Neodiprion lecontei: one gene and its partner. The protein of the gene in region 2 interacts with the protein of the main gene of each other region in a pairwise test. Links are inferred from orthologs where the notes say so. Each region holds a gene or a part of one and is shown on either strand. Other genes may lie near its edges.

Evidence for each region.
Region 1: the proteins of RING finger and CHY zinc finger domain-containing protein 1 (region 2) and androgen-induced gene 1 protein interact in binary tests that used the Homo sapiens proteins (3 or more experiments, as listed by UniProt). The link is inferred for Neodiprion lecontei from reciprocal best matches to the Homo sapiens genes RCHY1 and AIG1.

Annotation. Positions count from the first base shown.
Region 1 is NC_060260.1:28,849,497-28,865,867, reverse strand, and holds androgen-induced gene 1 protein, read right to left. Parts: upstream 10,980-16,371; 5' UTR 10,903-10,979; coding exon 10,832-10,902; exon of another isoform or gene 10,678-10,831; intron 9,715-10,677; coding exon 9,501-9,714; intron 5,619-9,500; coding exon 5,481-5,618; intron 5,157-5,480; coding exon 4,939-5,156; intron 4,861-4,938; coding exon 4,709-4,860; coding exon of another isoform or gene 4,668-4,708; exon of another isoform or gene 4,623-4,667; intron 3,951-4,622; coding exon 3,898-3,950; 3' UTR 3,789-3,897; downstream 1-3,788. Other genes in the region: protein smoothened, read left to right, coding at 1-67, 282-483, 637-810, 1,010-2,297. UniProt on the Homo sapiens protein: Hydrolyzes bioactive fatty-acid esters of hydroxy-fatty acids (FAHFAs), but not other major classes of lipids. Show a preference for FAHFAs with branching distal from the carboxylate head group of the lipids.
Region 2 is NC_060264.1:7,536,778-7,553,117, reverse strand, and holds RING finger and CHY zinc finger domain-containing protein 1, read left to right. Parts: upstream 1-6,223; 5' UTR 6,224-6,457; exon of another isoform or gene 6,458-6,658; intron 6,659-7,015; 5' UTR 7,016-7,108; coding exon 7,109-7,240; intron 7,241-8,973; coding exon 8,974-9,291; intron 9,292-9,437; coding exon 9,438-9,716; intron 9,717-9,824; coding exon 9,825-9,915; intron 9,916-9,990; coding exon 9,991-10,070; 3' UTR 10,071-12,529; downstream 12,530-16,340. Other genes in the region: uncharacterized protein LOC124294511, read right to left, coding at 15,747-16,340. UniProt on the Homo sapiens protein: E3 ubiquitin-protein ligase that mediates ubiquitination of target proteins, including p53/TP53, TP73, HDAC1 and CDKN1B. Mediates ubiquitination and degradation of p53/TP53; preferentially acts on tetrameric p53/TP53.

The DNA of each region.
Region 1 (16,371 bases), on a different chromosome or scaffold from region 2:
AGAGCGTGGTTTTTATTGGGACCTATTTGCATTGTACTACTTGTTGGAGGATATTTCTTATCAAGAGGTATATTATTTTGAACTGATTTTGTTTTCAGTACAATGCAGTAATTCATAATCTAATTATACCATTCTATTTTTATGCTTTCTTCCACTCGTACTCAAAGAGTAAGTATGTTGCAAGATTCGTATATCTGTCAATTGATGATTCTACAACTTGGATAAACTAATTTTCTAATTGATTCGAAAAATCAGTTTCTCAAAAGTTTCTCCTGTTTCAGGATTGATAACGTTAATTCATCTGAAGATAAGCAGTCAGGAAGTAATATCTAAGCGAGCTAGCTCCAAAATTCGAGAAACAATTGTGAGATTGGGATTATTTTCGATATTTACCTTTGTGGCAGTAATAGTAACATTTTATTGTCACATCCATGAATTCCAACACTCGTGGGAATGGAAACAAAGCTTCCGAGATTATATGATGTAAGCGTTTGGTTATGCATAATTATTGTGAATTTTTTGTTAATAATTGTTTTTAAAGAGTACTTTTGTATGACCACTATCACTATATTGCTACAAAATACTGGACAATAGTAAATGTATAATTTTTTAAATGAATACCAATTTTATGCTTAGCTGCACTATTACAACGAAATATACTGCAGGAGTATCAGAATGTAAAATGACATCAAGACCCAGCGCGGCCAAGCTTCAATTACATTTATTATCGCCATTCTTTGCTGGTGTTTTAATGTCTTCTTGGGTTTGGACGGGATCAACTGTGGATACCTGGAAAAGATTTCTTAGACGGTGAGAACAAATTCCCCAAGACATGGCAGCTATAAGTAAATTGATATTGTGCAAATACTAAGTTTTATGTTGAAGGTTGATAAAGTAAATTCATTTCGAATGAATGACAAGAGTTCTTGAGAATTCTTCACCAGTATGCACTTTCACAGATTACGTAAGAATATTGATTTACTTACTTCGAATCTGTTCATCATTACAGAACTTTCAACTGTGAGGCAGAAGAACAAATTATACCAAAAAAGTACAAAGCAATTGCTCAAGCCTATGAAAAGAGAAATACATTTAAAAATGCTGGACGATTATCTATAAGCTTCCACAACACACATGAAGATCCAGTTGGTCTAAATTTTGAACTAAATTCAGTAGCCTCTCAAGACTTCAGTTCAACGTGGGCAGCTGCATTACCAAAGCTGGTGACAAGAAGGGGTGCTTTAGTTGGTGTAACAACAGGATCTGTATCGAGCAACCGACGGAATTCCGTTGACTCAGAAATTAGTTTTAGCGTTCGTCGTGTGTCTGTAGAGTCCCGAAGAAATTCATTGGATTCCCAAATCTCTGTACAAATAGCAGAACTTAAGACAACTAGAAAAGTAGCTTCCACTACGTTACCTGGTAATTCTCGTAGCAGGCGAGGAAAACGTAGGAGGCGCGATTTCAACAAGACAAGATCTGGAAAAGTTAAACCACTTTTTCGAAGAGGTAGTACAACATCACAGGAGAGCGAACTGGGAGCCCAGATTCTTTCAGCTTTGACTATTGGAGGGAATCCCAACATTCCGCCCTTACAAATGCCAAACATGAAAAGAAGATCTGCCAGTGCTGGCCTGGATGGGCAAGCCATAAATTCAAAAATGCTAGATGGTAAAAACGCAGGCATGATATTGCCGTTTTTATTCCCAGGACAAAGTGAGAGTGACGAAAACTTGAGCAGTGAAGAGAAAGGTTCGCGTATTAATCCACGTAAAGACATCGATGTGGAAGCCTGCAATGTGGATAAAGAAGAGCAGGACAGTGAGAGCGAAGATAGCCATGCTGAAGAAAATACGAAAATGATATCTGTTGAAGAACCTCCCGAGCGAAGTAAAAGTAAGTCAAGTAACAATAGTACAAAGAGCTATATTCATGACAGTAGTGGTCGACGTAAAGAACTGAAAGTAAAAGACATGGAAGTAGAGCTCAAAGATATGTACAGAAAAGGTGACCTGGTATCGAGTTTGACATCTTTCTGTCCGGAGCTCTCTCGACTCATACAATCTGACGATTCGAAAACGAAGTTAACAAAGCGTCAAAGTGATGATGCAAACATTCAATCCAATGCCAGAGAGATGGCTACACAAACTTCTCTCCCTCTTGATATTTTAGAGATGGAGGAATTAAAGCAAAGTATTGATGAAATAATTAACAGTAGAAATTGTAGCTCTAAAGGGACACAGATTTCCCCACAACTCAACAAAACAGCTAATCGTAAATCTTCTGACATCAGGTAGAGTTGTTTAGTCATACATGAAAATTGAAATGTGTTTTAAGCCGGTTTAGTGTCAGGTAGTGTGGAGTCAACATACGTACTTGCGTGTTCAACAAATCTAAGCTATGTTTCAGGTAAAGCCGAGTACTGTTGAGATCTATACTTCTTTTAACGTAACTCTTTTAACGTAATAACATTATATTAGGATAAAAAATAAATCCAGCTAAGTAATAAGTATATTTTAACTCTGTTCAATGTCGGGAAATGTATTTCGAGAAATTGACCAACTTTGTAAAGCAAATAATTGTGATACTCAATAAGCATGATTACTGAACATTATACAACTAACCGTCACAATTTATTCATCTGAAATCAGATGATTTAATTGTACGTACTCAACACTTCTTATATTTCGTTATAATTTATAGTATCATGATGTGCCCTTAATTTACTTTTTTCAACTTTCATGTAAGCTATCTATTACGAGCATCCACGTACGCCATTTTACATAATCTTGTTGACATTTAATTAAGGTATGATTTAAGATGCATGCCAGAAGTTGGCAAAATATGGAGGCAAACAAATTCTTTTTACATATTTAACATTTTTTTTATTCTCAAATCAAGACTGACTGAGTGCATAACGTTCCAACTTGTTGGAGCAATATTGATCGTACTTTGTTCGGAACAAGTATCCGAGATCAATATTGTTTTCGATAGATAATTGTGTTATAGATTGACTCCAATTCTTGTACAGGTAATCAGTATATCAGCTTTTTTAAGTATTAAGTTTTATTATACATAGCATGGCTACTATCATAATGTCATGTTCAATTTTTTCCGTTTACAATAATAAAGTGCAAAAAAACCACCCATCCCATTGTGTATTATATTACTCAATGTCTCACAATTCGAAACAATGAATTGCTCGAGTATAGTGTTATCTAAAATGAGCCAGTGTAAAATGTTCGAGATGAATACAGTTCCTATTGTACAATGCAATATTTTGATGCATCTGAAATCATATTGCTTGAAGCTAAAAAATACGTACATTTTCACTTTCTATGGATAGTAATTTACAGTAAAACCACAGATAAGTAAGCCGTACTACGATTAAAGCACTATCGCACAAGAAATGAATGTAAACATTATTAATGAACACATTTTAGTAAACATTAAAATACTTTAAGGCAACAACGTTCTTGTTCCTTTTCGAGTAAGTAAACGAAGTACTACAATTCTTACTAGATCTCACAATCAAACAAAACTCGACGTACTATGAAATAGCTCATTCATCAATTTAACAATCTCCATTTATTTTTACAAAATGTAACAAATTGCTTCATGATCAGATCTGATTGCTGCAATAACTGTCCTATATAATAACTATATTTATCGTTATTGCTTAGATAACAATTATCAACGATTCTTATATGCTGAATTTTACATCACGGCGTAAACGTGATGACATGTTACAGTAATAACAAATGCACTGTTACGAAAAATGCGGAAAGGACAATGAAAAATCTTTTAATGATATGGATCAAAAATTAAACAAAAATATATAACAATTTATGCATTGGTAATAGCAATGAAACTATATAATACCAACAGATTGACCCTTCATTTTGATTTCTTCTTCTTGGCACTCTTACCTACAGATTTCTTAGCCCGTCCTGAAAAATATCAGATTGCAATTACTGAAGTTTTGTAAGTAGAGAGAAGTTAGAGTATGGGAAAATGTTATTTTTTCACAAATGTTAATATTAGCAACGGGAACATTCATTTGAATGCAATAAAACGACCATTTTAGATCAAGCAGCCCAAGGAAAAGTCTGGAAGTATACAATCAAGTACAATGGGTTCAGTAAACTTGAAAAGGTTATTCAAAGTTATTCAATTCACTTATATAAATTTGGTTCTTCAAAATTTAATTTAAACGTAAAAGATTAATACATGTTTAAAACATATATTGATAACTGAAAATGAACTGATTTAGTCGTTTTGTAAAATGTTAGTGACGTTGGACCTGACCTGACTTTCAGTGAGGTTACTTCTACTCCATCAAATATACATCCCCTTGAAAATATGCATTTGGTGGAGTAGGAGTAGGAAATAAATCGGCGACCAATTCGGCGGGCGTTAGGGTCAAACCTTGGTCATGTAAATTCGGACCACTTTACACGCACTTATCGAATTGCAAAATTAAATTTCAATTTTCCAACACAAAAACGCATAGATTAGATGTTCATCGATAAAATGTACTAGTTTTGAAATCAAAACTTAGACAACTTTGAACGTGTTCCTAAACATGCAGACGTGCATTCAAAGCACAAATGTGTAATCACCGCCATTGAAGAGTATGCATAGTTTCCTGACATTTCCTGTGAAGGCTACTTGAAATGAGATTTGCAGGGATGAGATAGAGCGTTACCCCAGATGAGCCGATCCAAGTACTCTCCCAAGATGTACAGAATTGCAGTAAATAGGAAAAGTACAACGAAAAAACCAACCCGCTGTGGCCACGACAGCACCTCCATGACAGGATATACCCAGATTTCGCTCTTTGCATAAATAATAAGCAACCTGCAGAAATAATTCATCATTAAAACATCATAAAACTCTTTTCCTCTAAATAATGCAATTATTTATGCTGTGACGTACCACACTAAGTAGGAAGCCATAAATATAAGTAGGCCTCCAAGACCAGATAATCGTTTAGGATACTGACGGGGAGCGACAATCATTTCAAGAACAGTAGTGACCATGATTAGAGTGTGCATCAGATGATTTAACCACCAAGGAAAATAAGGATCTACAGCAGCTGGTAGTACCAGCTCACGGTCCACGAACATGAGTGCCCAGAAAGTCACACCGACAAACTGAAGAAATACATGAAATGAAACAAAAGCCTATAAGTTCAACTTGGTACTTCATGTATTGTGGCAAGACATGTGCAAAAAGTAATCTCATCACATGAAAATTATTTATCTAATTCATACCAGTAACTGCTGCTCTATACTCTTTTAGCAAACAGCTCACATGGCCAGTTGTACATATAACACTATCCATATACTGATCATGGCAAGCTCGGATTAAACGTTAACTATTTGGTATACAGCAAGAAAAATTCTTGAGGAGGAAATGACGTTAATTTAAATTTTTAGTCTCAATAATAAGCTGAAAACTTTGAATATTATACTCACCATTGCAACTGGGAATCCAAAACTGGCGTGAATAAAGTCTTTAACACGGCGCAAAATTGGCCGTTTTGCCGGACTCAACTCATTGCTTCCACCAAAATCGTTTAGCAGGCACACGAAAAAGAAAACGGCTTGTAAAATCTGCGAATCGAAAACTTGGTTATTTTTTTTAACGAATGTCGGCAGATTTATCAGTAATCTGATATAAAATCAACCCGTGATGGCACGTATAGTTGGAGCACAACTTCCTTCAAATTGTATGTAATACGGTACAGTATTACTTACGCGCCTACGATATTATGACAGTATGCACATAAACAGTAGGTTTCCATGAGATTTGTAAATGAGACGTATATATTTAGAGGGGCATATTTCAGAGTACTAAATATCTTGGAATATACATTCAAATTACATTTTATCAGAAAAGTTTCTTGTAAATCGATTTCGAAAATGCATCGCCTAAAGTTAGCTGAAATGCATTTTTCGGCGACAAGGTTACATTCAAATATTTTTAGTTATGTCTAATCATTTTTCAATTCAAAGATAAGATTCGACTGAAGGGTCTGATTCGCTTTTCAACTTCTTCCAGTTTATTTACAGAGATGTCTAATAACATGAAGTTTTATTTGCAACGAACATATATATGTATTAGGGATCTCTATCGACAGAGTTTAATCAATTGAATAACAACGGATTATTCACCTAATATCCCCGAGAAAATTAAAGAAACAAATAAGTTTGACAAAGTTGAACTATATTGATTTATTTACCCTATGAACATCTAAAGTTTCCAAGTAAATTAATGTATTTTATAAATAATGAGTGCCAGGAATTAAAGAATCAAGCACATCTTAAATGATGTCGGTTATCATATATCAATGTTGTAATTTAGGATGTGGTTCTCAACCGCCCCCGCCTGGAATAGAAACCCGAGTGCATTTCCTGCCGCGGTCAAGTAACGCGTGATTAAATTACCAGAGTGCGGTTAGTACTATAATATGAACTTGGATAACTAAGTATACTAGTTTAGCTGGATGTGATATATAAATTGAAATAATTGCAATGGGCGCAGAGAATGATTGTTACAGAAATTAACTACAAAGAGCAATGTATAATTCGGTGTTTTCAAATTTGCCAAAATATCTCGGATTAGGATCATATAGTATAACATATCAGGATGAACGTTTTGTCAATATATATCGTGATATCAATCGAATCAAAATTTGATAAGCTGGTATTGTCCAACTACAATAAAATGACGCGCGGTCTGTGATAGAAAGATTACTTCCCCATTACGTTTACTGAATCGAGTTGAGCACGCGCCTGGAGAGGCGGGCATGCTTTTATCAATGTGATACACAAACGTGTATATCCCTATACAGCTTGAAAAGGCGACTTCTTCAATTTTTCAATTACTTATAATCAGTTTTATAATTTACCGCAGTTCACCGCCCAAGTTGTCTACACGTATGTATATACATATATCTATGTATATATGGACTTTCCGAGTATGATGTACAAGTAAGATGATGATAGTCGAGTTGTAAGAAACAAGTAATTCGATGCACGCGAAGTAAAACTGGCTTTCGTGTGTCCGTGTAATGTCAGGAAGAAGTCTCAGGAAAACTTATAAAACTTGTGCATAATATATGTGAAAGAAGTATTCGGTAATGCAACGCTTTTATTGCATACTGAAATAGTAATTGCAAAACCGCGTTCTTCCTTCACAATTACAACACGAGTGATTTTACTATCACTGCCTGTAGCTGTCAAAGAATATCAATTTCACAAACCCTAAGCGTGAAACGTGTAAGACCAAATACTAGTAGGTTCTTATTACTATACCCATATCACTCAATTCCGATCAGAAGAATAGAACCGATGTCATTAAAATACAATTAAATATTACAAGTCCTAATTGTATGAGATCGTTTTTAATATCTCGATACTTGTTTCCTACCTGACTTGCTAATATCAGTTTTCGATGCAAATAATTTCGATGTCCTAAAATTAACTTGAATCGATTGCAAGACAAAATCATAGTGCAGATATAGTATAAACCTTTGAATTTATGATAACTTTATATGTTTATTATAACTTTTATGATCATTGCCAAGTGGCATATCAATTAAGCAGTATTCAAAGGATAATTGCCTCCTGGTTTCTAACAAACATTCACAGTTTTAAACAAATTTGTAAAAATAGTGTGTATTGAAGTTTGACGGTGAATATCTTCTGAACAGTGAGGTATACAAAAAAATTGTAAGAGACGTTTTTTGTAGAGAATTCAATTTCCTATGAAAACATGAGTTGCTCGTATTATAATGACGTTTTGTTGAAGAGTTATAAAATTCATAAAAAAAAAGACATCTACCTTAAAATGATCAAACTTTAACCTTCAATAACTTCTGAACAGTGAGGTATACAAAAAAATTGTAAGAGACCTTTTTTGTAGAGAATTTAATTTCCTACGAAAATATAATATACATTTTTTTTTTGTAAATAGTAGATACCGAGATATGTATTTTTCTTCCTCACCATAAGAAAAAAATAGAAAACTGCGAGGCGAAGGACCTTCCTATTAAAATTAAAAGCTCATACTTGGAGAGACTGTTTTTGAGGTCTCTACCAACCAAGTTTTCGGAGTACAAAGTGGAAAAAAAATAGTCGATTTTTTTGGCCCACCCTAATATATAGTATATAAAAAAGATAAGTTACAGCATGGATATATTTCCAGCAGGCAAATTCGATTCAAATAAAATATTTGTAAATAAAGTTATAGTATAATAATAAATCGCGAACTGCACGCTATAAAGAGCTGAAACTCAGTGAACAACGGGTAATTGATTTTGCGTCGTTATCCAATTTGTACTTGACCCGTACACAGGCTTCATAACCCCGCAGCTATTCGCGCGGAATAAATTGGGAGTTTCCAAAATTTTGTTGACAGATTCCCAATAAACCGCGAAGCAAGGTGTGGAACGCCGGTAATTTTTATCACCATCAGCTGCTAGCAGGCAGTGAAAACCTGCAGCGTGACCGCAAAAAAGCAGTACATAAAAACTGGCAAAACTTATATACCATTAAATATACATAAAATATATATATAATCAACCAAAGATTCGTGTATTATTCGAGTCTTGATTTCGGGTAGATTATATATCTCGTTATTATCAAATTTCCGTGCGACCTGTTCGTGGAATTAGATCATGCAGTTTCTATGCAAACCGATTAAGAGATGATAATTTAATTATATTTTCAAATATGTATGCCGTATCCCGGATGGAAGAATTTCAAAACTTGTAGTTACATAACGCAAAGAACATTCCGTTACACCATAACATAATTCATGTTCCTTCCAGACAAGCGGCTACCTTTCACTGTAATGTGCAACAAACAAGCCTTCTAATAGCGTCAAGTTTTTTTTTCCTCTTACAAAAAAAAGTGAAGCGACCAACGAATAAAAACTGAATATCTCTAGTCAATTTATTGCGAGGCTGAAACTAAGCAGCCAAAATTAGCAGCCAAATGTTCTAATGTTCATTTGAATAAGGTAGCGAAGTCCTAAAATCAAAATTTTGTCAAATGCCTTGAACGTCCAATACTTTTGTAGAATTATTAAGATAAAACCGAAATGCATTTTTCTGTTTCCACAATGTTTAGCACGTTTGGCTGCTAGTTTTAGCTTCATAATTTATTGATTGTACGTTGTTAACTATTTGCGTTTTCGTACACTGTAGTGTATATACTGCATATTAAATAATTGAGAAGTATATAAAATAGGGCTCAAATTTGCTGACAAATCGATTAACTCTATTCATTTAGTAACATTATTCTCACATTGTGAGAAAAACGCACATTTCGAAGAAAAAAAAAACTCAATTTCTGAAACATGTCCGAAACATCTCAAAATTGTCGGAACAGCATTTCTTTACTCAAATAAAGGCATTTTGATTTAATGTGTTCATTTCAAAGTGAACGGGGTAAGGGATATTATGAAATTCAATTGTGAAAAATACAAACCGCGTTCCAGAATGTAAGAAATTTAAATCTGCCGCCGTAGGCATCATGCATCCTGGCGATATGTCGAGGGACGACTGTATAGGTGTGATCGTAATAGACCGCGAATGAGAATTGCGCGAAGGCAATCGCGTGCATTCCTCTCAGCAGGGTGTCCCGCTTTTTGTTCCTGACTCCCGTAGCGTCCATTTTTGTGATCTCAGATTCGTCTAATGGCCTGTAAATATCACAGTCTCTGTTTCCTCCACCGAAATAATACCGAAAATTTTGTACACCCGTGCAGGTTCGAACTTTCAACAGATTATAATTACAGAGCGAGAATCGAGCGTGCACAAGAAAATTTCAACGAGTAAAGAGGCACGAGTTGACTGTAAACAAGACAGCGATATAAAATAGGAGGTTGCTGTATTTTTATTCTCTTCTTTGACCCGCGTTCAACTGGCGATCAACTCTATCATACATCACAGATCGAGGCGATTTATATAAATTATATTGCAATGATTTGATGCACCAACAATCAATCAAAACCGAATGTGCAAATATATTAAGAGAAGCATTAATTAAATCGTGAAGTAAATTAAAAAGTACTCCGTTATCAGACCAATAAAATTTGCCTCAAGATTGATTGTTTTGAACTTTATAATCCCGACCTCGTAATTTATTCGTAAACTGTTTATTATAACAGACTCGAAGTTTGAACCGTGATAATAGATCTACATATGATGATATGTATATGACGGCAAAGTGACGTTGATTCCAATGAATAATTCAACTTCATGAATCTATCGGTATATAAGTTAGTGATATTAAATTGTTATTATCAAGATCAAGATCGTGCCTACCGCTACAGGAACCATTGAAACGACCTGTACAAAACGGTATGTCAAATCAGTGTCTCTGCTACAATATACCCGCGAATTCTTTTCCAATACGTGAAATTTAGGTCGCCGATGGCAAAATTACAGCCTGCCGAAAAGGTTATAAATCTCCACGTGTGAACGTGACTACCGAGTCAAAACATATCCAAAGATCTCGGAATACGTTTCATGATCTCAAACTACGAAATATCGATGCGAAATGAATATAACTGTACCGTTCATTCGACGATCGAATCTATCAATACTCGAAGTTCGAATCGTTTTCCGAGACCAAATACACATAATACGTATGGCATGTATACCTTGAACTTGGAATGTCACGAATAGTAGTATACAGATATCGAAATACGCACGGAGGTTCGGTCGGTAAGAGTCTAATTCACCAATTTACTAGGTGTGCTAGATTTCCGACTCCGTGCTGAGTCCCGCAGTGTTGTATAACCTCGAAATATTTACCCAAGACGAAAGTGACTCGCACGGCGCACGACTGCTGACGATGGCCAGCTCCGCACTGAATGTATGCACATACAGAGAGAGACTGGATGGATGAGAGAACGGGAAAGTCGAACTACAACTCAACCCGCTGCGAAGCGAACGCACGCGCGCTTCAACGGGAGTCGGACGCGGCACGTGTATGCGGAGTATTTACATGATCTTTGCGTTTGACGCACTCCGCTGCAGCCTCGCGACGCATTGTTGATTTGGGAATCGCTTGAAATTAGACGCGAGATACGGAGAGTGTCTTTGAGCTCGTAAATTGAACATCGGGAACGGGATAAGCATAGTTTCTGACTTTTCATAGGGTCTGACTTACGACGGAAGAGGATTTGGATTTTTCCGGTTTCCACGGACTTTTCTAACGACAAGAACTTTGTTTACATATCTTTTCGGTGATCTGTCTTGGAGACGGAGAAAAAATAAGGAAACGAAAATCGCTGCGTTACACGCTAACCGCTTCCCCTCACGTCAACTTCCACATCGCGAGATTCAATGCAATCCACACCTCCCCGAATTTAAAATCTTACCAAGGCTCACAGACTATTTACATGGTTTTATCGGGTTCCTCCGGCTTCGTTATTTTTTAGAAATCAACTGTTATTTGACGAAAAGTCGGATATTAATGTAACCATTGTCACCATTCAGATGATGACGTGCAACGGACTCATGAGAAGAACCCGCCAATCCACCCCTGATCCACGGATCTGCACGAGACTTCGCAGAATGAAAGAGTAATAAAAATAAATGAACACGTGTTTCGGCTTGTTCGTAAACATTCGATCATTTCCGAGAAATTAATGTTTAAAGTTTCGACGTTGCTTCACGAGTCTGTTATTTCCTATTACTTTTAAACCTAATACCCTGTGGCGTATTTCGGAATAACGGACAGTTGCTTTGGAATGATAAGTTGTCATTTCAATATAGCGCCCTTGTATTCATCAATAAAATAAGGAAGGAACATTCGTTAAGCATACCTCGACGAAGAAATGGAAAAAGCAAATTGGTCGGTACTTGAACACGAAGCGCAAAGACTCAAAGTCGTAACGAGCAGATTCATGAAGCAGTGTCGTGACTTTAATCGTTATTTTCTTGGGAGACGGTCGAGTGTTTACGGATAAACTAGAATACATGTTCGTTTATTTTCATTACTCTTTCATTCTGCGAAATCTCGTACAAGCCCATGGGTTACAGTTGGTGAGTTCTCCTCGTCAGGTCGAGGATCCATTTTGCAAATATTACTAGCGCTATGTAATTGTAAAACTTAATGTACATCGCTGTTGCGGTTTGTTTCGGCTGTCTTCCTTGCGAAAGCTCACCTCTTATATGAGGTCCACTAGTATTTGATTGTAGGTTCTCTCTTTTTATCTACGTTATATGGCTTCTGTGTACTATATTTGATTACTAACACATGAATAAACATTAAAGTCTTTTCTAAGGAGGGACAGAAGCGTCAAAATCCTTTGACTTTTCGTTTGACACCGAGAACCCTGAACCTACATTGATGATAAGATCGAGAAAACATCCAACATAAGTAAAATATATCTACGTCACTTCAAACTTTGTTAAGAATTATCGTTATTAGCTGCATTCGGAAGGAATGTTGTTAATTTTTGAATGGAAAAATATATACACGGATTAATCGGTTCGGTTAATAACAGAAAATCTGTGTGATGAATAAACTGTTCGTAATTCGCATCAAATTTTAAGGGTTGCGATCTCGTTGTCTCGGTCAAAGTTTAATGATGATTCGTTGGAGTCATAAGTTTTGATCCACCCATGCATTGTAGAATTGAATTACATCAATTTGAGTAATTGGACGTTATGCGATTGAAGGTCGACTAAAGTTGCTGTAGGTGAAGACTTTTTTGAAACACGTAAAGAACACTATGACTATATATATACTTTGCAACTTCTACTACGATTATTGTTTACACGTAATTCCAAGTACAGCTTTTATTAAGAATAAAAGTATTAATTTTATTTTCAACTCGCACTTTCAACAAATGCAATATAGCTTGTCATGTTTGCAATATTATTACCCGGGTATAATAGAAAATCGTAACAGGTTGCATTGAGTCAAGGTTGTATGGAGTTATTTAAAAATTTTAATCCACTGGATATGCAAGTTTATTTAAAGACCAGAACAAACATAAATATAAATTATTTCTCAAACCAAGGATATATCTCTTTAGATATTTATATGGAAATTGTTAGTTCCATTTTTAACCTTTACCCTGTCACATAGGGTCTTTCGTGCTCGCGTGATTTCTTGTTATGTGTATATTTTGTAAACTAGAAGGCCCGCTGTTTTCTCCCAAATGAATAATTAAGTGATCAAACTATTGGATCTTCAATTAGACATCTCAAAGAACATGCATGAATTTCCTCAGAATTTTCTGAGCAATTAAAATAGCCAAAATAAGAGTAGGAAACGAAACACCCCATGTGACAGTAAACGTATACTGAAAACTATGTGACAGGATAAGCGTTAATTATATAGTATTAGCGTATGAAATCATTCCGTTTACACACGGTGTGAGAGAAAACGGGAAAGATAACGAGTAATCAAACAATTCAAGATACTACTTGACCCCGGTGAAATCTATCTATCTTATTTAACTGCTCATTGCTTAACCGATACCATAAAGTTACGTAATAATTCGAGGAACATTCCAAGCATTGATAATGTGCAATTCACCCACAGCAGAAAAAACAGCACATCATTGTAATGTCTGCCGTGCTTTTTTTTCATTTTATTATAGATTTCGGATAATTTTGGGGCGATAGACTAAATTTTCAGTTGCAAAATAAACAGCCTGAGATGCGAATAACTCTAGGCACTATTCAATTGGTGGTCGAAGCCCGTTTTGCAGATAACAGCCCGTATTGGGAATTCAGTAACTGATTACACAATTACACAGACCGCAATAAATAATTATGACTTAAGACGTATCGTTGAAAATACATTTCTAATTTAAAATTAGCCTTCTGCGATACCATATTTTTTTATACTTAGGAACGACAACGCCATCAGTGATATTCATTCTGTTACTTATTCGACAAGCCGTTGAAACGACTTTTACGAGAGTAAAATAACTTTTTGTTATAATGTACGGAATTGAAACTCACCAAGTTCCAAAAGGTGAGAAACTTCAATTGGCCAGGGTCGAATTCTGGGGCTGGATTTCTCTTAGGAAAATGAAGGTGCAGTATCGCATAAGATATCGTGAATACGTATACTCCCAAAATCGAAGCATGGGTAAGCCCATAGCACGTTTGTTTCCCGCGTTGTTTCCACTATGAAAATACAAAAGCGTGTCTATAAAGCCATGAAAAAATATCATGCCAGTAGTCATTGATTCAATGATAATTATGATAACGACGAATCCTCAGTCTTCTAAAACAATCGAATCTACGTTGATATAATGTGACAAATCTCAGGATTTCCATTAATCAACTAACAGACGAATGTTGGACGTGTAATCCATCGTCATTATGATATGATCGATACGATACGACGAAGATTTGGTCGAAATAATGTTTGAAGAAAAACGAAATTTGTTTGTCTAAATACTTGGACTAAACGATGCCATTAGCCTACATCTCTGTCTCAATATCTGTAAACTTCCAAAGACTTGCGATATTCAACAGAAATTTTCGACGCATCTGACGTAACATGAATGGATACAGGTTTTACAATGACCTTCTCACATTGCGTAATACATGTAACATATGTGTCGCGTGTATGCGGCAAGCTACAAGTTTGTGCAACAACTATGTTACAGCTCTGGCTGCAATATTGTATAGGTACCACGTTGAAATAACGTAATTACAGACCCCACAGCTTGTGATTATGTGAAGATACAAGTGTAATGTTATCTAATATACAGAACTTGGTACGATATTTTTAACGCACTTACTGTATGTAAAATATAGAAATTATAAATCTAATTTTAGTTGAAGATAAAAAAAAAACTCGAAGAATAAAGTTTGAAATTATGCATTTTTTCATTTTTAAGGTATATACGGAAACAAGCAAAAAAAATCCGGCTTCTCAAATTTCTACCTTTTACGTATGTATAATACATTTTATGAAATTATCGGTAAGAACAATCAGGATTATAAAAGATGACAGAAGTGAGTTAATGTTTGAAATCTTTGGAATAAATATTAGGTTATCCATTGATTCACTGTTCGAAATTAGTAACTATACGTAATATTATGTTTCAGAAGGTGCAATGACCTGCCCTTCGACGAACTCTCTCTCTCTCTCTCTCTCTCTCTCTCTCTCTCTCTCTCTCTCTCTCTCTCTCTCTCTCTCTCTCTCTCTCTCTCTCTCTCTCTCTCTCTCTCTCTCTCTCTCTCTCTCTCTCTCTCTCTCTCTCTGAGCATCCTGACTTGCACTGTCCAATTTATTGTTAGTTTTATTTGCTGTGAGTTCTAGCTCTTTCTTGAGCAAGACAATGTACGCATATTTTGCCAACTAACATAATTAAAAGTCATTCTAAAGTTATAAGATCGTTGCTTTTCCTTGTAGATCACCATCACCATTTTGCCATCACTACGAAATTTCGATCTCGTTAAATTTCTACAACTATCACAAATAAATTCCCGGGTTTCACCAGCAATCCCGTATCACTGATTACTTGAAAGAAAAAAAAAGAACCGAGACCCGAAGGACAATGCCGATTTTAAAATTAAACTCCGCCAATACCAATAATTATGGGGTATAAATATACTATCACTGGAATACTATTGAACGGACGTCTGCATATAAAAGTTAAAGCTGTGTGCAAAGTTCACTCGTGTCAAGGTATAATTCTCTATACTGCTATAAAATACCGCTGCGCGATCCTGACGTAGCACAGGAGGCTGAAGCTAGCAGTCAGAATTAGGAGCCAAACTTTCAAACGTTCGTTTGAATAATGCAGCGAAGTCGGAAAATTAAAATTTTGTGCAACACATTGAACCCTCAATATTTTTATAGAATTATGAGGATAAAACTGAACTACATTTTTCTATTTTCAAAGAGTATGATACATTTGGCTGCTATATAGCTTCAGCTTCATACGTTGCATAGATAAAATATAAAGAAGTTTCATTGAAAAATAAGGTTCATAAATATTCTCCGCGATATGTCTATGCACGTAATATAATCCGACGGGTGGGTACATATTTTTATGTAACGCTATTGTAATACGCAACGCCGCGTGTACGTACCGAACTGACCTTACTGTCCGTCATAGCGAAGCCGTCCTTCCACGCAGTCCGCGATCAACCGAACCAAAACGAACTCTAGCTCAGAAATTGGAGCCAACTCGGCTACAGCGGCGACGATATCCTACTCCTCATACTCCTCGGCACTCACAAGAAACAACTATGCATCGGAGAGCTCTCTATAGTATATGTATGCCGAAAGCGAGACGATATTTCAGGCGGAATCGTCGCACTCAGATAAGAACTGCTACCGTAGATTACAGGACCTGAAATACGAACCA
Region 2 (16,340 bases):
AATCGCGAAAATTTTCGCCAAAATACAAAGGGGTTAACCTTCCTTTTTTTTTGACCGGAAAATCTCCCGTTGCAGAATTGATTTGTATGACCCTATCCCGACCAATTGGACCCCCAGGAACTCAGAAAACGCAGCGAAAAGAGCGTGGGATCAACAGGAGAGGAATGGCGAGCGAAAACCACCAGCTGAAAAATGTCGAAAACACAGGTTCTCGTTTTTTGGCTGTAACTTTTGATCTGTTGATCACAGCCTATTAAGACTGCGCCCAATCGATTTCTCTCGCAAAATTACGTCGGAGTAGTGCCAGAAAGAATTTATTCCAGCACTTTTCAAAATCGCGAAAATTTTCGCCAAAAATACAAAGGGGTTAACCTTCCTTTTTTTTTGACCGAAAAATCTTCCGTCTCAGAATTGATTTGTATGACCCTTTCCCGAACAATTGTACCCCCAGGAACTCAGAAAACGCAGCGAAAAGAGCGTGGGACCAACAGGAGAGAAATGGCGAGCGAAAAAGCACCAGCTGAAAAATGTCGAAAACACAGGTTCTCGTTTTTTGGCTGTAACTTTTCATCCGTTGATCGCAGCCTATTGGGACTGCGCCCAATCGATTGCTTTCGCAAAATTACGTCGGACTAGTGCCAGAAAGAATTTATTCCGGCCTTTTTCAAAATCGCGAAAATTTTCGCCAAAAATACAAAGGGGTCAACCTTCCTTTTTTTTTTGACCGAAAAATCTTCCGTCTCAGAATTGATTTTTATGACTCTTTCCCGACCAATTGCACCCACAAGAACTCAGAAAACGCAGCGAAACGAGCGTGGGACCAACAGGAGAGAAATGGCCAGCGAAAAAGCACCAGCTGAAAAATGTCGAAAACACAGGTTCTCGTTTTTTGGCTGTAACTTTTGATCCGTTGATCGCAGCCCATTGGAACTGCGCCCAATCGATTTCTCTCGCAGAATTACGTCGGACTAGTGCCAGACAGAATTTATTCCAGCACTTTTCAAAATCGCGAAAATTTTCGCCAAAATACAAAGGGGTTAACCTTCCTTTTTTTTTGACCGGAAAATCTCCCGTTGCAGAATTGATTTGTATGACCCTCTCCCGACCAATTGGACCCCCAGGAACTCAGAAAACGCAGCGAAAAGAGCATGGGATCAACAGGAGAGGAATGGCGAGCGAAAACCACCAGCTGAAAAATGTCGAAAACACAGGTTCTCGTTTTTTGGCTGTAACTTTTGATCCGTTGATCACAGCCTATTAAGACTGCGCCCAATCGATTTCTCTCGCAAAATTACGTCGGACTAGTGCCAGAAAGAATTTATTCCGGCCTTTTCCAAAATCGCGAAAATTTTCGCCAAAAATACAAAGGGGTTATAAACCTTTCTTTTTTTTTGATCGAAGAATCTTCCGTCTCAGAATTGATTTGTAAGACTCTTTCCCGACCAATTGGACCCCCAGGAACTCAGAAAACGCAGCGAAAAGAGCGTGGGACCAACAGGAGAGCAAAGACGAGCGATATTTATCATTTATTCATGATCAATACGTGATGCATACTATAAATTTTATAATTGTCTAGGAAACATACTAGATTATTCACAATAATCGGCTATAATATGACAATAAAAGAATTGTTCGTTTCGATATGGGATTTAATTCTACATGCAGTCCATATATTTCATAACATCAATATTCAGAATTAGGAGTAGGAGTAGGAGTAGGATCAGAAGTAGGAGTAGGAGTAGGAGTTAGAGTAGGAGTAGTAGTAGGTGAAGAAGTTGGAGTAGTGGGAGTTGGAGTAGGAGTTGGAGTTAACGTAGAAGTAGGAGCAGTAGAAGTAAGAGTAGTAGTAGTAGGAGTAGGGTAGGGTAGGGTAGGGTAGGGTAGGGTAGGGCAGAGGGTAGGGGGTAGGGGGTAGGGTTGCCCCCATCACCACCCCACCACAGCTTTACCCCACCACCCCATCACTCCACTACCCCAACACCCCAACAACCCATGATCACACCACCCCAACACCTCACCACCATCGCACTACCTTCAATCACCTTTGACGACCTCCGTCCTTTTTGTCGCCCTCGATCAGCCGCAAACACTTCTTACCGCCTTCAACCACCTCCAGCGACCACCGCTGACCACCTCGGGTTATGCCTTGAATAGTAATAAATATTTTCAGTATAAGAACACGTCAAAAATATTGTGTGAGGATTTATATAATTATTTATTAAATTAATAAAATAATAAATTTTATCAGCGCACTTATAGCTACTGAATTTGTGCTTGAACGAAGAAAAATTTAAATGATTTATTGTAAACATGACAAGTTTAAAAAATTTCAGATAAAATATAATCAACCTTGCTACCAAATATTATAAAAATGTTATAAAAATAAAAAACTCACCATTCATAAATCCTCGTCCTTCTCCTCCTTGTCTTCCTCCTGGTCCCGCACGATCACCCGTAACCACCTCTAACCACCTCCGACCACCTCCAACTACCGCCAACCACCTCCAACGACCACCACTGACCACCTCGGGTTATACATCGAATACTAATAAATACTTTAACTATTAGAACACATCAAAAATATTGTGTAAGGATTATTATAACTTTTGTATTGACACATTTCACCAAGAAGATTATGAGAAAATTATAAAAACTTATAGGAATTTTACTATCGCAATGATAGCCACTGAAGTTGGGCTTGCGCGAAAAATGAATTGCAATAATTTATTGTAAGCGTGACAAGATTAAAAATTTTAGTAAAATATAATTACAATTGCCATTAAATAATATAAAAATGTTTTACTCACCGAGTACAAATCCTCGTCCTCCTCTTCCTCATCCTCCTCCTCGTCCTCCTCCTCTACCACCGGCAACCCCCGCCAACTACCGCCAACGACTACCGCTAACCACCTTGGGTTATACCTTCAATATTAATAAATATTTTTCGTGAAATTTAGAACACTTGAAAATATTGTGTACTGATTAAATATAATTTTTCTATTGACACATTATACCAAGAAGATTATGAGAAACTTATCAAAAAGTAAAGAAATTTTACTTGCGCATTGACAGCTACTGAATTTGGACTTGCGCGGAGAATGAATTGAAATAATTTATTGTAAACGTGACAAGTTTACAAAATTTGAGATCAAATATAACTACAATTGCCATTAAATATTATAATAAAGTTAAACTCACCGAGCACAAATCCTCGTCCTCCTCGTCCTCCCCCTCGTCCTCTTCCGAACACTTCCAACGACCACCGCTAACGACCTTGGGTTGTACCTTGAATAGTAATAAATGTTTTCAGTATAAGAACACATCAAAAATATTGTGTAAAGATTAATATAATAAATTAAATAATCCATTGTAGAATGAATTTTATCTACGCATTTATAGCCACTGAATTTGTGCTTGCGCGAAAAATGAATTGAAATAATCTATTGTAAACGTGACAAGTTTAATAAATTTTAGATAAAATGTAATTACAATTGCAATTAAATATTATAAACATGCTAAACTCACCGAGCACAAATTCTTGTCCTTTTCGTCCACCTCTGACCACCTCCAACCACCGCCAACCACTTTGCATTATACCTTGAATAGTAATAAATATTTTCAGTATAAGAACACATAAAAACTTTGAATTGACGTATATTTTCATCATCGATGAACTAAATAACTCATAAAAAAACTTTAAATCACATTCATTTTCGTTCAGAAATTTCTTGGTAAAAATCGTTACCTTTTACGTTTGAGCTCGACAAATAATAGGATATCACGGTTTTTTGGGTCATTTTGGTACATCGATAATAGAATGATGTGCGAATTCAAAATAACTAGTTTTAAAACACTCGCTCTGTAAAGCGCGCTCGGGTTCGAATGCCCAGTGTAACTAGTTTTGTGCTCGTGCGCTCGCTGACTCGTAGTCAGTTTCTCACCAGATGACATAATTGTAGGGGAGACTGGGGCACGATGACTCCATAAAAATTCTGGTATTTGCTTCACAGTATACAGAATGAACACTGTCTTCGTGCATGTGACGCAAACCGAATCTGCCAGTTATATTTTTTCTATATAATGCTACAAATCACGTTCACACATGCATGTAAGTTTAACGCATTGTGATTCTATGACAATAAATTTCGTCAAAAAATACCACAGAACAATCATCTAAGTGCTGACAGATTTGAAATCCTACGCACAGCAATTCTAGCTCCAATTGAACTACGTTATTGTCATATATTCCTATTTATATAGTGCCAACCACTCACCAATTGCAATTTGTTGATCCTGGTCGTTGGTTTTTTTTCCGATTCAAAATGTTATCCGAAGCATACATATTGATTTGATAGTACAAAACATGACGTTTTCAATAATCAAACTTGTAGACTTGAAAATTAGTCCGTAAGGTCAGAAGTCATCAGGTCAAGGACCTGGACAGCCAGGACTACGGAACGCTTGTCCTGGAAGTAGAGTTCCTCCCGGTAGTGGACCAGGAGTGCAGGAACCCTGGAGCGTTTGTCCTCGAAGTCGAGTTTCACCAGGTAGCGGACCTGGAGCGCAGAAACCACGGAGCGCTTGTCCTAGAAGTCAATTTACACCAGGTAGTGGACCATGAGCGCAGGAACCATAGAGCGCTATGAGAAACTGGAGAACTACGGAAAATTAGTCCTGAATGTCAAAAGTCACCAGGTCAAGGACCTGAGCAGCCAGAACTACGCAGCGCTTGTCCTGGAAGTCGAGTTTCTCCAGGTAGCGGACCTTGCGCGCAGGATCCACGGATCTTTTGTCCTGGAAGTCGATTTTCACCAGGTAGCGGACCTGGAGCGCAGAAACTACGGTTCGCTTGTTCTGGAACTCGAATTGCACCAGGAAGCCGACCCGGAGCGCAGGATCCAGGAGGAAGAGAACCCGGTACTCGAAATCTGCGGAGCGCGATTCTCATCCGTCCGCTCTACTGCGCGGTTGTTTCCAGACTGAGGAAATCGGCTAGCTCATTACTATAGATCGATGACGTCAACAGAAAAAAAATTTTCAGTGACGTCACCGTCTGAACGTCCGAACATATGAACATCCAAACTTTGGTTTCGAACTTCAATACTGTGTATGATCTATGATGTATGCGATGTATGATGATGTATGATGTATGATGTACGATGATATGATATGATGTATAATGATCTTAGTTTTCACGTTTCACAGACAAGAAACACGCACTTTATCATTTCCGTCAATTCCAGACTCAAGCGGCTTGGCCCTTCGATGATTAGCCGTTGACTCAAGATATATTCTTCAGTTAACGGGTCAACTAATAACGCTGCCGTTCTACGACAGTTGGATGATAAAAATTTTTGCTCGTACCTTTCAAATTCGTGTTAAAATACACTCGAAGTTTTAAGAACCTTCGTTCTTTCTTTCCCTATAAAAATGAAATAAAAATTGCTGACAATCACCTCTTTAGGTTTTTAAATCAGGATACTGCGTTAAATACTGTCTCATGTACGGGGCATCCAATTTCATCTCGATCAAAATTAGCGCACCCGTGATGTATTAAAGTTACTCTGAATTTTTGTTCCATACGAACACTTTTCGAAAAACATTTCTGCTTCTCTACCCAACGGAGATACTTCAGTTGCGACTAGCTAAAACAGCGTTTCGATTGTATGCCTACGAAAATTAAAGATCGAGAGAGCAAATAAAAAGTTGTTGGAATAATTATGAATTGCCCAGCTGCCCACCGAAACCTGGTCACAAAAATTTACCCAGGGGTATCCGTCTATATTATCTTCAGTCAACGTTCGAACATTTATTTGGACGGCCTCGTAATTTTATGTCGTGATACCCCTGTACACGTAGCGACGCGTGCGGCCGTTGATGAAACTACCAACGCCGACGATAATACGATACCGTAGCGCTGTTGTTCCATCACTGCTATCCGTTTCCAATATCGAATATTCTAGTTTTCTATTTCTTGAATCTCGCGAAAACTTCCAACGTTATTTCTTACGTAGTGAATTAAAATGTATTTTATTTATCGATTCGAATCACGATTTGAACGAATTATTGATGTCAGTGGTTGAAGGCGACATGACTTAGAATATTTTTACTGTGTTTTTCTTTGATTATTTCAGAAAACTATAGATCAGCAAATATCTCTGTGACTTCAAATACGTACCAATTATCTCAACACCTGTGTAAATAATATTTTTTAGTGCCATATATTTACGCTACCGGATGTTTACGTGATCCGTAATCACTGTATCAGGCAGGCGTCGGAAGTTCCGGTTCAAGTTTCGGCTGTTCGCCGTTCGAGAGAGGTCGTCCTTAAAATCTTGTAAAATTACGTTTGTGGCAATAATGCTTGACTTAACAACGTATCTTGATTCGCGCTGATTTTAATCCGAGTAAAATTCCAGCGATAAATCTTGTAGCCGATGAGGGAACCTTGATCACGGTAATTGGAGAATCGGTCAGAAATGTGTCGGGTAACCTGTCATTCGAGTGATATTTGTTTTAGTTTATTGCGTATGTGTGTGACGGTGCTGAGTATTAACGGGTCTCGTCTCATTAATCGCACAATTGCGTATTGTGCGTAAATAAATATTGTGCCGTAAGTGTTTCACTCAGGTTGGATTGAAAAGGCGTCAAACAACGGGTAAAAATTTGTTTTATATTGACCTTGCCAGTGTGAGTTGCGAGAGACGGCTGCCGTGTGATAGCTGAAATATACAGAGCATTAGCAATTGTTGCAAGGCTTTTATTTTACTATTATTTCTATTCTCCTTCTACGTTGTATGTTGTAACATTCCGTTAAGGGTTTCATTCAGGTTGGATTGAAAAGGCTTCGAACAACGGGGGAAAATTCGTTTTATTTTGACCTTTTCAGTGTGAGAGCTGAAATACAGGGCATAAATAATTGTTGCAAGGCTTTCTTTTTTACTATCGTTTCTTATTTCCTTAATCGTTAAATATCTACATTGGCAAGGACACTTTTTTTTACCTCCTCTTACAGCTCCTGTCTCGAATTTTATCACAACCAATCATTCAAGGTGTGTTAATAATTTAAACAAGCAAGTGCAGCTTTGTGCTAATTATAAACTATATAATGGAGGACAGTGATGTCAAGCAGGTTGAAGAATCTGAGCCTAATAACAAATCTCAGAATGACGAAACCTCCGATCAAACAGACGAGGCAAGCGTTGGTTGTGCACATTACAAAAGAAAGTCGAAATTTGTGGTAAGTTTCATTTATTCGTACTTTCTAATTCACATGAACATATTAGTTTTCATCCAGATCCCCCAAAGCGAATAAAGTATGCTGAAAAATTTGCGCATCTGCTTTATAACTTGATATAGCAATTATTCGCCAGTACGATTTACCGTTGAAAATAATGTACTCATATTAATTAAAATGTATACACGTAACACGCGGTAGACTCTCCGTAACTTCCTATATTCTGGAGTTTTAAGCACTAAGCGCAAAGTGCGAGAAATTGTCTTGCTAGCGTCGATTAGACGAGCTTTGTTCTTTTCATAAAATACGCGATAGTTTAACCGCAGGGAATCGTATCTATATGTAGTAGCGATACTTGTAACGAGAAGCTGTCCAAACAAAAAGTTGGCACTTAAGAAGTTACGGAGAGTCCAGCATACGTGCATCTACCTACCTTATCAACGCTTAACCGACTCTCGTGCAAATATGAATTCTTGGTAATAAACACCGCTAGAGCAGCACGTGGAATATACGTGATTTCGATAGCTTTCAAATGCATACAGAGCAGGTTACCAAATGGTATTTGATCAACGACACGTCTACATTCGTCCATTGTTTACTACCTTATATGCTTTTAGAAACCTATAAGAATAACAATGCCATATCTAAAGTAAAAGACGGTAGTCATCGGTCGCTCTAGGCAAGCATGAGGCATTTTAAGATGCTTGATTCAACCGATTGGCATGCATGAGGTCGGAGTTGGTTACGTTAATTTAACGATGAATTTTCAGAAAAAAATTGTTGTATTGCAACTTTACGATTGACTGAAATTTAATAAACCGTAATAAAGCAAGATATACTTATATTTTAGAAACGTGACTTCTTCAAAGCCGTTGAAAAATTGCATAATATCAATTTTAGATCCACAATTTTTGCTAACATTAAAAACTTGAACCTCTTTGGCATTCTTGGAAGTTTAAATTTCTTATTCTTTCAAAGATATTAACTTTTAATATGAGATACATTGTATGAAACTCAATCTGTCCAGAAAAATAAATAAGAATCTTTACTTTTCAAAAATTTAATGTATGGAAAAATTATTAATTCTCGAGAGAATTGCAGATCAGTCAGCCAACCCTGAACCAGAACATTGTGCAGTTGTCACTCTATTATTCTATGAAGGCAATTATTAACCAGTGGTGCTCAAACTGCTGCAACACAATTCAATCTGTTTTGCAGCAGAGAAATACAATTTTCTCAATCCTGTAACTGTTGCAGTGAATTCACTGAAGTCACGACATCCATTTTTCTAGTATTAGCTAATCAAAATATGAAAAGTCAATGGGTTTTCCACAATCTTACGAGTTATTCTTGGTAAAAAGAACAGTACTTTTATTATATTTAGACATTGTCCATACTTGGAAATAATTACTATTTCATTTAGCCTCGTCCCTCTAGTTTGAAGCTTAAAACTCTGTGCTGTGAGTACATGTGTGAACCTTTACAGCGGATCAATAAAATATATATTTATCTCTGTTGCTGAACGTGAGTGACGGTGTACCGCGTGCTTTGTAATCTATAATCGGAAGGCATTTAGAAATAATATGGGTCTTTTTAGCTTATTAATTGAATGTAAATGAAGTTTTGTTAATTTCAATTCAGGATTATTACTTGTCCGTGCCAAATAGACTAATCCTTGATCGAGATAATAAGATAACGAATAACGATAAGTCAATTGATTTGTTTTCATTTTACAGACGCCATGCTGCAACAAGGTTTACACCTGCAGATTTTGTCACGATGAGCAAGAAGCCCATACCGTTAATAGGAAAGAAGTAACGGAGCTCATCTGTGTCCTGTGCGATACTCGCCAACCAGTGCAAGCTACTTGTCAAAAATGCAATTGCAGATTTGGAAAGTACACGTGTCTAGAATGCAACTTGTTCGACGACGAAGATAAAAATCAGTATCACTGCGATGGATGTGGGATTTGCAGGGTCGGAGGACGTGAGAGGTTCTTTCACTGTGCTAAATGCAATATGTGCTTACCGGTGCAGTTGCAGAATGGTCATAAGGTGAATAAAACAAAAATATTACACGACATGAAAAGGTTTTAGCAAAGGATCTTACTTGTTTCTTATTGATACCTCCTCATTCAATTCTGTACTGACGCAGAATACTTAAAAGTAAATATGTATTGCAAATTTTAATTACATTTCAGTGCGTTGAAAATGTTTCGCATGCAAATTGTCCGGTTTGCTTGGAAGACATTCACACAAGTAGAATTCCATGCCACATTCCTGATTGCGGACATCTGTTACACCGTACCTGCTTCGAAGAGCTTCTACATTCTGGCCACTATGCCTGTCCTACCTGCCAGGTATCCCTGCTAGACATGTCGGAACTTTGGAGATTCTTAGACAACGAAGTATCACAGACACCGATGCCTCCTGAGTACAGAGATTACAAGGCCGATATATTGTGCAAGGATTGTCACGAGGTTAGATGTTATTGATTACCTATTGCCAATTGACGATGTATGCTTTTTTTAATTGCGACAAATCTCCCGACAATCAATTTCTCCCATCTCATCAATTTAACGTTCCAGGAGTCCACTGTCAAGTTTCACGTGGTTGGCTTGAAGTGTTTAAACTGCGGAAGTTACAACACATGCAGGATCAAAGGGTCTCCGTGTCCTGGTAAATATTGAATTAACACCATCAAGTTAAAAAAAATTTAATGGAATTATTCTTACACTCGTTCGCTCCTATCAGATCCAGAATCCTTGGATGTTGCAGCTGGTGGAAGTGGTACAGGAGATGAGGAAAGTTCGCAAGACCACGATTCCCCGTAATGATATTGGGTATCAATATTTTTAGATGAAAAGATTCAACTGAAAATTTTCACGATACGGTACGTCAAATTGAAGGCCTACGTTAATTGCACTCTCAACAGTAGGGAAATGTGTGTAATGTGTGTGATTTTATTCGAATAACATTGAATGAATAATTGAATGTAACGGATATTCTGCAAGCCACATGCGGTTGTTAAGTACCTAAATTTCAAACTGTAAAATACACGTATACTCTTATGTATACTATGAACGCTTAGTCTTGCAGCTTACATAATTTAATGCCGGAAAGAGAAATGTTTATCAGATTGTAATCTAAGTCGATTTTCACGATTTGCCTTTTTTTAAAAGCAAGTGGCATAAAATCGAGGAATGCTTGAATTTACGAATAACGATTCATAACACAAAGATTCTCTAGTTTGAAAAACGTATTATTACATTTTGAAACGTACATATTTATCTTTTAGAGCAATTTTTTCAATTAGGAGGCAATTTTCGCTACTTATAATCTACTGTTATTCTATTTTTCATTGATTATCGTGCAGTGCATTTAAGATCTTTTAGAAATACGTACAATAGTAACCACCATTGCGGGTATGTATGAATACCGGAACTAAAATAGTCTAAATGCTTGCTTAGCTTTATTAGAGTTTCTCTTCAATGAATATATGCTGTAGGTAATATCTGTACTACAATTGGTATACCTATACTCAAATTATACTAAGATATGTAGAACCCTGACGAGGCATCGAGGCTTTAAGTTGAATTAGAGATTAATTTTATTAACTAAGAAAGAGCATAGAAACAAATGCTGTTAATAAAATATAATTTCGTCAAACATTTGTCCGAAAGCCGACAATATGTAAATACATATACACTACGATTAAGGCCATAAAATTAGCATGAGTAATTTTCTCATTGATACCAAAAAGACGTAGTTGTTTTCGTTAATGATATATTTTCTCTGCGTATCAAAGCGTTGAAAATGCCGTTAACTATATAAATAACGTTGTTTTGTCTTCAAAACACGTTTTGCTTAATTTTAGTAATCAATTGTTATGCATTCCCTTGGCTTGCCATTCCTAATTCGGAGCATTTGAGCTAAAATCGTGTTTCTTGTTAGTATAATTGAAGGATTTCCGTACACGTGTTATATATCAATATTTTTATTTCTCTAATGTTAGTAAATTGATTTTGAGACATTCCTTTTGGGCATAAACCTATGTTTACACATATAGGGCCAAGCTGACCAGTTATTTTGATCTTTATACAGGTCTTAATCGGTATACAAACAGTTTTTAGTTAGAAAACAAACAATCTTACTACTTTTTACATTCCAAGAAACTAGTAATAATCAAACTATTATTAGGAAATGAAGGTAGCAGCAACTGTACCTCTTAATCAAATCATTATCATGTTTGAAAACCACTATACACTGTGCGTTAAATGTTGAGGTTATTTGGCTGCCCCCGTAATGTTGTTTTCATCCAATTTATGTCACTTATCTTGCGTACAAGAGGCAGCTTGTATTTGAACTCGTTCAACTTACACACCGCAATTTGAATCACCCTCTTCTCCGCCCAGTTGGTTGTTGCATATTGTTGTCCCTTTACAAAATTTTCTTTATTTTCGAAGTGAAAAATCACCGTTTCAGTGATTGTGGAATATTGTCAGGGTAGAAAGATATTATTGTACCACAACGATTTGCCAGAGATTTATTTCTTAAATAGTGCATTTTGTATATGTATAATTGCTGTAAATAAAGATGCGTGATTGTTTATCACGCGAGAAATAAAGTGTGAAATGAGTCTTAAACACATGAGTACAGAGAGATTTATTGTAATGTAATCATGAATTTAGGTTTCTGTACTATAAAAAATTATCAATTTTATATTAGCACGCAGCGAACGTTTTTTAAATAATTAGGCTCTATTTACTTCAGTACTTGTTCAATAGAATTAAGGAAAATAATATTATCTCATTACAATAGGTTTCTCTACTTTATGCACGTAGAAATATTTGATACATGTACCGAATTGGAGACAAGTTGGGCTGCGATGGTACATGTACCTTGGAAAGATATAGTAATATTAATCGGCTGGAAAGGGTTCAATTAATTCGTTGTACCAATGATTATTGGTATCTTTATTGATCTTTTCTCCAATACATCAAGCGTATAAGCTAGGTGTCGTAACATATTGCGTGCGTTGAACTTGTCACGAATATGATCAATTAGTGTGAATTGTTTCGACGCAGTATCACTCCGTACTGAATACAGAGATTCTTAAAACAACTATTCATTATTCCACTTACTCGAAAAACGGTAGTTGATAAAATTCGTAGATATCGTGTATTCGATAATTTGTGTATGTGTGCGTATATTTGTTAGAAACTTTGACATGTGATTTTAAAAACTGAATAAAATGTAGTACTTTGTTCTTACTACTGCAAATTCCACCTCACACTTGCATTACGGATATCCCATGGCTGTTTATCTCATCGGTTTTAACCCTCGCAAATGTAGGTCCGTAAATGTGCTATTTCTGTAAGATCGAAATTTGCTGCTTCAACGTCGGTGATAAAGGCATTTACTATTGTTTCTTTGAGCCGGACAAATTTTGATTTTATTTGATCGGTAGAGAAATGATCCGAAGAACTGCTAAACAAGGTACCTGATGTTTACAAAACCGGTTTCTTTTATTTTGTAATTTGTTGAACAAAGAAAATGAACAAAGAAGATGAATAGGGCCTTTCTCAAAAAATCTTTGTCTCAGATTTGTTTTGTATGATCCTGGCTGGACTGAGCGGACCCCCAGAAACTCAGAAAACGCACCAAAAATGCACCACTATCGTTTTTAGGCTGTAACTTTCGAACCGTTGCTTGCAGCGTTTTTGAAACTTGCCTCGTCGATACCTCGCGCAAAATTACGTCAATGGAGTGTTCGGATGAAGTCATTCCAGCGTTTTTCAAATCGGTAAAATCTCAGATGAAGAACTCCAAAAGCCCCTCCTCGTTTCTATCGGTGTGTGGATTTTCACGCACTTCCAATTGAATCTTTCAATCACTTAATTGTTTGCCGCGTCACAGGAATGTTCCCAAGCGTCGTATGACGTTGTATTTGAGATTTCTGGAGCTACTCGATTTTCGTAACATCAACAGTTATTACGCCAAATTTACTCCTTCGATCGGCCTTTGAATTCCTTCAAGCAACTCGAACGCGATAACGAAAACATCGTGAGATCGAATCAATAACATTCTTTTGTTCGTCTTATGTTATTAGTATATTTCGAGTTTGAACCATTAAGCAACAATTGTGGTACTCCTTTTCCTTCCGAGGTATGAAGTATTGATTGTAGCATTTCAGTTGTTACGATTAATCTATTTACTAATTGCGATCACAGCTCTTGAAAACGCAGCATAATTCTTCGATAATATTTCTGATCCGTATAACAGAACGTTGATAGTTTCACTATCATATCGGATTATTCCAATTCACAGATAGGACGATTCAAAACTTTCAACAGCATCACTGCTATAAATACCTTAATCTGATTTCGTAAATCTCACGTCTGTCAACGTAAATCAAAGTATATTCCATTCTAGATCAATATTAATACATGATTGATACGTATAATATAAAAAATAGTCATAAATTCTCTCGGATAATAAATGGTTCAAAACTCTAAATTAGTTAAATTTATTGCTCAAACAGCCAGCCGCGTGTCACAATAATTCCTACGTCCGCTACAAAATATAGTCACAAAAAATTTCTCCGTTGTGTAAACAAAAATATTTCACGTTATTCACAATCAGAAGTATCGTAGTCACAGGTTATAAATTTATACGACAGTTTCGATCAACAGAGTACGTGAAAATTCGAAAACCACAAAACCTGGTGTTTTTCAGCGTAAGTATATTAATAAAATTATTTGACGAACCGACTGTAAAAAACAATCGAGTCCTTCAAAGCTTTAAGTGGAATCGACGGATCAGCTGCAACTCTCTTTATTTTACTTTTTATTTCTACGAGTAAATCACTCGGAGAACTTATCGCAATATTTTAAGCTGTAGTTCTGTAAATTTAAATTAATATTGAGCAGGATTTCGAGTGAAAAATGATTCTTATATCCGGATACCGGATAATTCATCTCGGAGCCAAACATCATTTTTAACCCTGCAGGCGGCAAGGTGTGCAAGGAAATTTACTTATGTATTCAACGCTCTACACAAGCCTGGCAATCTTATAATAATTGTCTAAAATTAGCTGCGTGGTCCGAGAAGCTGAGCCCACACACCGAATGACGCACGTAGCAATAATTGTATTCGTTTAATTAATACCAAGAAATCATTTGTTCCACATCCCCCTGTCAGTTCACCTGTCAATTAATATTACTTTGCGCATAATCACAACGACGCGGAGCTTGAGAAATTGATTCTGCCATCCGCATAAATTTGCGTTATATGATTCGGCCTGCCCGGGTCTCCGACCTCGTCCGTAATTATATTAATTTGGATTAATTGTAATTGTTCACTTTCAAATCTAGTCTCTAGATTGATACAGATATCAATGCATTACGCAGAACTGTATTTATTGAAGTAAATTGTTTGAGCCGAAACTTTGAGCGGAATAATGTTAGCCGACGATAACTAACGAATAATCAATTTCCGATATCCGAATACGTATTTCGGTTGCGAAAAAAAGTATCACATTTACAGTGCTCCTCGTTATCCTTGATTCGTTCCTTCAGCTTCAAGGTTCCATGGTGTAATGGTTAGCACTCTGGACTCTGAATCCAGCGATCCGAGTTCAAATCTCGGTGGGACCTGATTTTTTTTTTTCTTATCTCACGGTTCTTTTTTTACGTACTATGCGCGAACAGATGAATCAGGTATGTTTATAGTAATGTAAATCTTTATTAAATATAAATATAGAGTAAGGTATATTATTATAGGTACATGATATTTGCGATGCTACTTACCCACCTAGTTTTTGGTAATAATACAGTTAGTCGCTAAAATAATGTCTAACTCAGTCAACGGGTATCAAATTCACTCACCAGATAGTCAAGTTCGATGCATGTAAACCCTGTGCCTATGGGCGATTCCTTAAAAATTTGACACACTTTACAGTATCTGCTGTATAAATTGATCACGCAGTGTTGTGCAGCCAAGCCGAGGCAGTTTAGAACCAAATGCATCGAACGATTAGAGGCCATTTAAAGTATGCTGGAATTACGAAGATGTCAATCCCCCACACCGCACACATGAAATCACAGTTAATGGTTCTCTACACGACTCTGTGAATGATATTTTCAAACCAATAATTGAACTTGAATAGCGACCGACAGGAAAACGACATTACGGAAGCATACTCATGCAGATATGTTCGAATAAATTACACTGTTATACGGTTAACGCAGTTTGAACAATGCATCACACGCCTTATGGTAATTCTATATGTCGTACCACCGTGAAAAACCGCATCCCATGCATCACGTGCGGTCCAAATAACGCGATACGATGACACCAGTGGTACAAAGCGACGTAGATATTTAACCAGATAAAAATGAACGACTTTTGGTAACTCGTCAGGAACAATTGATTCGATGTTCCCGATAGACGGCGGCTTTGGATACATCATCCGATAAATGTTGACCACAAGTTCAACGTATCGACGTTCACCGTTTCGGTGTCTGCAGCAACTTGTTCTCCATGGATCTGATCTTGAGGCACTTCATGAGGAGCGCAACGATGGTAATAACGGCGCCAAAGAACGATATAACACCGAGAACGACGAGCACTATGAACCAGCTCTTGAAGGTTCCGATCCTCGTCGAAAAGTCACAATTACAATTTTCGTAGTCGGTAAGATTGAGGGCGGAAAAATTGACCGGCTTTAGCGAGATCGCGATCTTGGTTTCGTTGAGGACGTCGGGTTTCCGCTTCGCCGCGCTCTGTGACTTCTTCACAAACTTGTACGATATACCGTAGGTGAACTCCTGTCCATTGAATGACCCTTTCCAGCTGTAATACTGGACGAGTAAAACATTTCCAGTCGACGTTACCGGTACCTGGATATTGTTTATGTCGGAGTGGAGGATGTCGCAGTAGGACCAAGCTAGCGAATCGTTGGTAAAGGCTCCATTGTAGACGGTGATTTCGTTACCAGGACAGTAATTCAGGCTCGAATTCCGCCTAGAATCTGTTGATCCTGACTCGTCCTCGAAGGAGTTACGTATTATCTTCAGCTGCACGAATACCCGCTCTCCAGT